Linked DNA regions of Xenopus tropicalis. The protein of the gene in region 2 purifies or fractionates together with the protein of the main gene of each other region. This does not show direct contact. Links are inferred from orthologs where the notes say so. Each region holds a gene or a part of one and is shown on either strand. Other genes may lie near its edges. The genes, in order: ubxn4 and ube4a.

The links.
Region 1: the proteins of ube4a (region 2) and ubxn4 purify together in Homo sapiens (affinity purification with mass spectrometry; 3 studies listed by BioGRID and IntAct, counting the BioPlex papers as one, with this or other methods). This does not show direct contact. The link is inferred for Xenopus tropicalis from reciprocal best matches to the Homo sapiens genes UBE4A and UBXN4.

What each region holds. Positions count from the first base shown.
Region 1 is NC_030685.2:84,078,042-84,081,963, forward strand, and holds the start of ubxn4 (UBX domain-containing protein 4), read right to left. Parts: upstream 2,910-3,922; 5' UTR 2,810-2,909; coding exon 2,728-2,809; intron 1-2,727. UniProt on the Homo sapiens protein: Involved in endoplasmic reticulum-associated protein degradation (ERAD). Acts as a platform to recruit both UBQLN1 and VCP to the ER during ERAD.
Region 2 is NC_030683.2:81,297,670-81,301,591, reverse strand, and holds the start of ube4a (ubiquitin conjugation factor E4 A), read left to right. Parts: upstream 1-1,169; 5' UTR 1,170-1,249; coding exon 1,250-1,367; intron 1,368-1,554; coding exon 1,555-1,731; intron 1,732-3,577; coding exon 3,578-3,690; intron 3,691-3,774; coding exon 3,775-3,922.

The DNA.
Region 1 (3,922 bases), on a different chromosome or scaffold from region 2:
TATTTGCTCTCCCTTTGTTTAACCTTCTTATGTCTCCCAATAAGGGCAGTGAAAGCATTTTGTTGTGACAGTTTGGCAAAGAGCTGGCGAGACTGCTGGCGAGACTGCCCTACAGTGACAGGGAATGAGCAGCTTCACGGCACAAACAAGACAAACACAAAAGAAACAAGATGGAGGCCCAAGGCTCACTAGGATGTTATTTTCAAACTACGTAGCAACAACGGCAGAGAGGATGCCAATGGTGCCGCTGGCCCAACTGTGCCAACTGTGCCAGGCAGTCTAACAGAGAGACGGGCTATAATTACTGGGATAGAGCAATAATGGATTTTATTATTGCATCCAAGGGACATCTCATAAAGAGACTGTACTGTAGGGCCAGGAACTCGCAGTGACTGCACTTTGCACTCTCAGACTGAAGCCAATAAATAACTGCCTGCGAGCCCTTCAGAGATGCTCTGTCTGTCACTCTAACTGTCACCCCGTTCCTCATTACTAAATGGCTAAAGTGCTGCCCCTCTATTGGATGGGTCCCCTATACACGCAGTAATACCATCCAATAACAGCATTATTAGCGGCAGCGACCTGGGGCCCCTTTGGCAGGCAGGCACAGAGTTGCCCAGAGAAGCCCCCAGGATCCATCTCCATTCACACACAGGATGCCAGTGACAGAAACTGTGCAACCCCAATCCCACCCCCGCTACCAGCCAACAAACACAGGCTGACAGTTAGTAAAGGCAGATGCCTGACAGTTACCTGTTTCCCCCCAATCGAAAAATTACTCCTTTTTATAAGCCGACAGCTACTTGCCTGGAAATAACAGGGTTCCCCTTTACAAAAAACTGAGCATCTACCCACCCAAGCCTGGTCCTACTGCCCCCCATTACTATTGATGACACGCTCATTAACCCTATCTACTGGTCCTACTGCCCCCCATTACTATTGATGACACGCTCATTAACCCTATCTACTGGTCCTACTGCCCCCCCCATTACTATTGATGACACGCTCATTAACCCTATCTACTGGTCCTACTGCCCCCCCCATTACTATTGATGACACGCTCATTAACCCTATCTACTCGGCACGTGGTTTGGGGGGGGATCTCTCCTTCTCTCACCATATAAACCCCACTGTCAAAACCTGTAACTTTTTCTTATGCAAAATTGCCAAAATCTGTCCCTTTCTGTCACCCGTAACTGTCAGGCTGCTCGTACATTCTCCCCAAATTTCTGCCGAGGGTATCCCCCCTGTCTCTGCAGAACTCACAGACCCCCCCTTGGGGCTCTCGCATAGACCTGAACTAGGAACTGGCACTTATACTGCAGTGTCACCTATTTGTGTCTGTAAGTTATTTAGACTGTAAGCTCTACAGGCCAGGGACCTCCATCCTCCCGTCCTCGGTGGAATCATTAATACAACTGTACTTTATATTTATTTGTATTTATTCCTTTGTACCTATTATTGTAATGAACCTGTTTGTTTATGAATTCACACATACGTAGCATTATATACATGAAATATACATACATACCAACAAGCTGACAGTTACTAGGCAACCCCATGAACACTGACAATAATAATGGCCCATCATAAAGCTGACAGCTTAGTATTTGTGGCCTACAGCAGCCTCTGGGCTACAGAGAACAGTTCTAATGCCCCAATATGTTGCCTGGGTTACCCACATACTGACATTCGGCAGCGAGTCCTTGGGCTCCACTCTGGCAGGACATTGGTTATAACAGTCCCCGGGTTCCCACTATACTGACAGTTAGCTGTGCCAGTCCCTGGGCTATCTCCATGATGCCAGATGTACCAGTACATGGGCTCCCCTCTGACAGGCAGTTAGTAGCAGTACATGGGCTCCCCTCTAACAGGCAGTTAGTACCAGTACATGGGCTCCCCTCTGACAGGCAGTTAGTACCAGTACATGGGCTCCCCTCTGGCAGGCAGTTAGTACCAGTACATGGGCTCCCCTCTGGCAGGCAGTTAGTACCAGTACATGGGCTCCCCTCTGACAGGCAGTTAGTACCAGTACATGGGCTCCCCTCTGACAGGCAGTTAGTACCAGTACATGGGCTCCCCTCTGACAGGCAGTTAGTACCAGTACATGGGCTCCCCTCTGACAGGCAGTTAGTACCAGTACATGGGCTCCCCTCTGGCAGGCAGTTAGTACCAGTACATGGGCTCCCCTCTGGCAGGCAGTTAGTACCAGTACATGGGCTCCCCTCTGGCAGGCAGTTAGTACCAGTACATGGGCTCCCCTCTGACAGGCAGTTAGTACCAGTACATGGGCTCCCCTCTGGCAGGCAGTTAGTAGCAGTACATGGGCTCCCCTCTGACAGGCAGTTAGTAGCAGTACATGGGCTCCCCTCTGACAGGCAGTTAGTAGCAGTACATGGGCTCCCCTCTGACAGGCAGTTAGTAGCAGTACATGGGCTCCCCTCTGACAGGCAGTTAGTAGCAGTACATGGGCTCCCCTCTGACAGGCAGTTAGTACCAGTACATGGGCTCCCCTCTGACAGGCAGTTAGCTAAACTGACAACTATAACAATCATTGCCCCCCCCCCGATACTGGCAGCCCTTGTGCCCCTATGATGCCCATATTATGCCCCTATGATGCCCATATTATGCCCCTATGATGCCAGACAGTTGGCCGTGCCTCAGGCCCAGTTGCCCCTATGACAAGTTGCCCGATACACTGAGAGGCGGGGAATCCATTCTCCTCACCAGCCACGAACACCACAAACACGGAGTTGCGCTGCTTGGCGGCCGCTATAGCCTCCGGGATGGAGCCCTGGAACCACAGCATCGTCCGACTCCGCTGCCCGCCTCCTGTCACTGCCCTCACTGCCCTCACTGCACACACACAGACGGTGACGAAGCCGGAAAACAGGATGTGACGTAACGCCGTCCGCTCTCACGCCGCACGCAAACAATAAGCCACGCCCACGTGGGGCGGAAGTGAATACTGAGCGCAGCGCTGATGGAGTTTGTTGTCATGGAAACAACCAAGCCGCCATACGCTCTGCCCGTAATGATGTCATACGCATATGCAGTTACCTCATACACTAATTGCGCCTATAATTACCATCATTGCGTCATGTTTTATTCAGTTTTGCTGTATAGTTAATGTAGGCCATTCTCTGGGGTAATACCATTTATTTTGCCCTTCCCTCCCACCCAATCAGCAGCTTGCTGGGCTTGCCACCTGTTTAGTTATCAAGTTCAATTCATTTCTTATTGTTACAGAAATAAAGAGCAAATTTCTGAGCTTTCTGGAAAACTGGTATAACAGAGCCCATACAGTTACCCATCAGGCAGAATAAAGACAGAACTAGGGCTGCCAATCAAACTGACTGGAATTCCAGCCAATTGTAAGCGCTGCAGTAACTGCACTCTGGCATCATAACCCCGCCCCTAGCTTTGCTGCCCCACCCCTATAGCTTTGCTGCCCCGCCCCCTTTGTTCAGGTTTAGCACTGGCAAAGGTGGTGACCCCAATGTTTTCCACAGCACTGCCCTCAGGCTCAGGCCAAGAAAGTGTCCGGACTGACCAGAGCATGGGCTGAGGCAATGGTGCCGGACACATTCCTCCCTTGAAAATGGAAAGAGGGACAAAAATAAATAACGCACGGCAAAATTTTACCACGCCCCCTAAATACCACTCCCATTTGACTAAATTTGGCAGGTTATTTAAGGTCTGAACACATTTCTGGGGGGTTTGGGGTCCTGCTTCAGTGCAGGAGATGAGGGAAATGAGGGACAATTCAGTAAGAATCCGGGACTGGGAGCTGAGCTGTCAAAAGAGGGACTGTCCATATCACACCATTAAGGTTGCGCCAGATGGGCCGTACCCCAACAGATCACTGCCCGAGATGTGCAGCTAGCCCTGCTAACTTTCATATCCCCATATGCAGTCACTA
Region 2 (3,922 bases):
CCAGGAGTGGCATATACAAATCAAACAGCATGCAGGGCTTTTCCTCCTTACTACTCATTGAGAACCTTTTCCTGTTGGGCAACTCACGGTACTCGCGCCAAGTGTCCCCTTCTAGGTGATCTCCCCGGTACTCACGCCAGAAGGCACCCCCTCTTGGGGTCCTTCCCGGTACTCACGCTAGGCAGCCTCACCACAGGCAGCCCACCCCGGTACTCTTGCCTAAGCCCCCTCAGATCCAGCCTCCTGAACTAGCGGTGACCTTGTCCACCTACCTAGCCACTTGTGGCCCTGCACTCCAGCAGATGTAATGCCGGGAGGTCTTAACCTCACTACCACTCCTGGAGGGGCAATGTCTGCCCATTCTAGCTAGGTGACCTACATATCACTCCTAGAATGATCTCTTACATGAACTACTATCTTAACTGTGCCTGGGGTACTCCTGCCTGGAGCAGTCCCCAAAATGTCTGCCTCACAGCACATGGCTGCAACCCCTTATATGGGCCTATGCACCACCCTGTGGCCATAACCCGAACTCCAGTCATCCCAGTGTCCCTGTTACCTAGGGGTTCCTGTCCTAAGGGCCCATTTTTGGTAAACCCCTACATTTACGTAAACTCCACCGACCCACTATGAAAAGACTGACTTATCAGCACATCAATTATTTTTACTACCGACTATTGGTTGGGCCCCTCAGTAAAATCATTGGGCCCTTAATCTTACGTAGTTTACGTAACTTTTATACCAAGCATTGACAGTGCAGAGCAGGGGCAGCAAGGAGTGCAGGGGGAGTCCCAAATTGCCACATAAACTACAGTATGTCTGTCCTCCAATAAAATAATACTGGCATGCTGATATATACAGTATATACTACCAGCATATGCGTATTCATAGACAGCACATTAATACCTGAGGAAAGCTAGTTAAGCCAAAACATGTCGTGCTCAAACTGCTGCAATAAAAGTCATAAGTTACTTCGTCTGCTCTCTGGGTTATTTCTTTAAAGAACATCAATACAATTCATTTAAAGGCAAAGAAACATAATTATTAGCTGTTAATGAACATCTCCGAACATTGCAAAGAAAAGGCCACAATCTGGGTCTAACCTATCGAACTATAGACGCTTTCGTTTTTAATTGGGCGCCGCGCCGATTCGTGACGTATGACGCTCCAACGCTGTGTCGATGCGGTGCGATGACGCCTGGCTACGCGCCGCACTGGTGCGCTGACGTCAGATTGGCGCGACCTTACAATGACGGACCAAGAAAACAACAACAGCTTTTCAGCCAATCCTTTTGCTGCCCTGTTTGGGTCTTTGGCTGAGGCTCGCCAATTTGTGGCTGGTCAGAAAGAGCAACTCAGGCAGACTGGTAAGTGGGAAACGTTTGCTTGATATGTCCTCTTTTTATTTAGTTCAAGTAAATCTTTCAATGACAGCACCATCGACAGCACCACTAAATTGGTGTTTGGCTCTTCTCTATTACTCTGGCTTGCTTTATGTTGAGTCAGATCAGAGCATTTTCCTAAAACACTAGTTAACCAACCTTTATATTCCAGAGGATGATGCTGAAGAGAGCCAAGATGAGTCAGACAACAGCGTGTCAGAAAGCCTGGATGATTGTGATGACTCTGTGGCAGAAATCAGTCGATCTTTTCGGTCCCAGCAGGAAATCTGTGAGCAGCTAAACATTAATCACATGATCCAAAGGATCTTCCTCATTACCTTGGACAACAGTAAGTTACTAATTCCTACAAGATGTTTTAGGCAGATGGATAAGCTGCGATAATTTTATTTTCCAAAGAATTTGTTAAACTGCATGTGAAACAGCATTTTTTTTGCACCCTACCTGAGATGTTTCATAATGAGATAATGATGGAGATAAACTGATCCACAATATCAGATAATCATATAGAGTGTTGGAATGTATTACACTAGCAGAAGAATCTGTTATATTGCAAGGTCTAGTGGAAAATAGTTGGAAGTTATCCAAAATATGTGTATAAAAATTATTGGTTTCATCAGCTTAATTCCAAACAATAAGCAGAAAGTTACATTAACTGGAAAATATTTCATACATTTAATATAGGCATAGTAATGCTTAATCAAACAATACATTATTCAATTAGATTTTATGCGTTTATTAAATATTATATATGAAACAATTCTATTTATATATTACTTACTTAATAAACATTGTCAGTGTATGGTCCCAGAGGTGGTGGCCAGCCAGGGTATTAGGTTTTTTTTTGTTTGTTTTTTTACTTCATTTTGGATTTTATTAAGTTATTATACTTTGTTGTCTTGTGTAGAACAAATAAGGCCCTGAGCCAGGAGCGGTAAGCATGGCAGAGCTCCAACCAAGGAGTTTTATGACTTCCAATACTATGCAAGCTTAAGCAGATTTATTTAGAGGGGTCTTAGTCTATCTGTTTGGATTTAGTTTGAACAACACAAAATCGGTGTGAGCTATTGACTCCCTTTGTCAGTTAAAATAGCACAGAAAGATATAAAGTAAAAGTCTAAAATATACCTAATCTCTTAATAGTGAGATGTGTAAAGTCCTATATGAGAAATATACCACATCTATTTGCCATATGATTTACCCCTGGGGACAAAGTAAAATTGTAACTAATATAAGCTGTGTAAATATGTGTGTGTGTAGCACTGCATGCTACAGGCTTTATTTCAAGAAAAAAAAAAATTATGGTTCAGTGTTTTGTTTATGTTCAGTGACCTTCCTCAGCAGGTACAAGTTTGCTCAGCCTTTCTGTGTGACATTGAAAGGAGACATAAAGGAGAAATAAAAAACTCTAATCTGTGATAGAACAGTAACACGTCTGAGCACATCAGTGGTCAGAATGTCCTGTCTGCCATTAGGCTAATTTAGCACTGGCAAACTTTACAGTTTACCCACATATGTTGTTTTCTATACACTACATCCAAATAAATGGATGATCACTTAAGTCAGGGGTAGGGAACCTATGGCTTTAATAAAATCTTTAATAAAAAAAATAATGGGGGGCGTGGCCTGCGCTTGGCAGATAGATGTGTTCTAAGCCTTAGAACGCGTCTTCTATCCACCGAGCGCAGGCCACGCCCTCGTCCGCATCGCATCCTTGCCACCCACCCTACCTTGCCCCTGCACTCGGCGGATAGAAGACGTGTTCTAAGCATCCTTGGGACCCACCCTACCTTGCCCTGCAGCATCCACGGCCAAACATGTATGGCTCTCAAAGAATTACATTTTAAAATATGTGTTGTTTGTGGCTCTCTCAGCCAAAAAGGTTCCCGACCCCTGACTTAAGTTAAGCTTGCATGGCTTATTTGCGATTATGGATACATTCTTTCTAGTATGCATTACTACTTTTTACTACAGTACTACATGGATTTTTTTAAGGCTGGCCTTCTCCTTCCAGCAAATTTGCACTACCAGATAACTTTTTAAAGGAGGCAAGGCTCATATTGATAATTGTATCATTGCTGACAGTGCTGGTTAATAAAGTGTTTTTTAGATATTTGTAAGTGACTCCACTATTTCCTTACCTGTTTGTATATAATATGCATTGCTTTGTCTTGTAGGTGATCCCAGTCTGAAGAGTGGGAATGGAATTCCTTTACGTTGTGTGTATTTGGAAGAGCTTGGATCAGAGCTGGATGGGCAGGACTGGCTTGACATGGATAATGTTGAACAGGTATTAACAAGAGCGCTAATGGATGAGGCCACACAGCATAGTATAAACACAGTATATTTTGATCCTATTTTATGTTTCCTGTAGGCTCTGTTTACACGACTACTTCTCCCAGAGCCAGGAAAGTATCTAATCTGTATGACATCCTCTGGAGCCCCCAATTTATCTGCAGAGAGAGATGCTGGAGAGAAACAAATAATCCCATTCTTATTTTCCTGTTTTCGTAGAGCCAAGA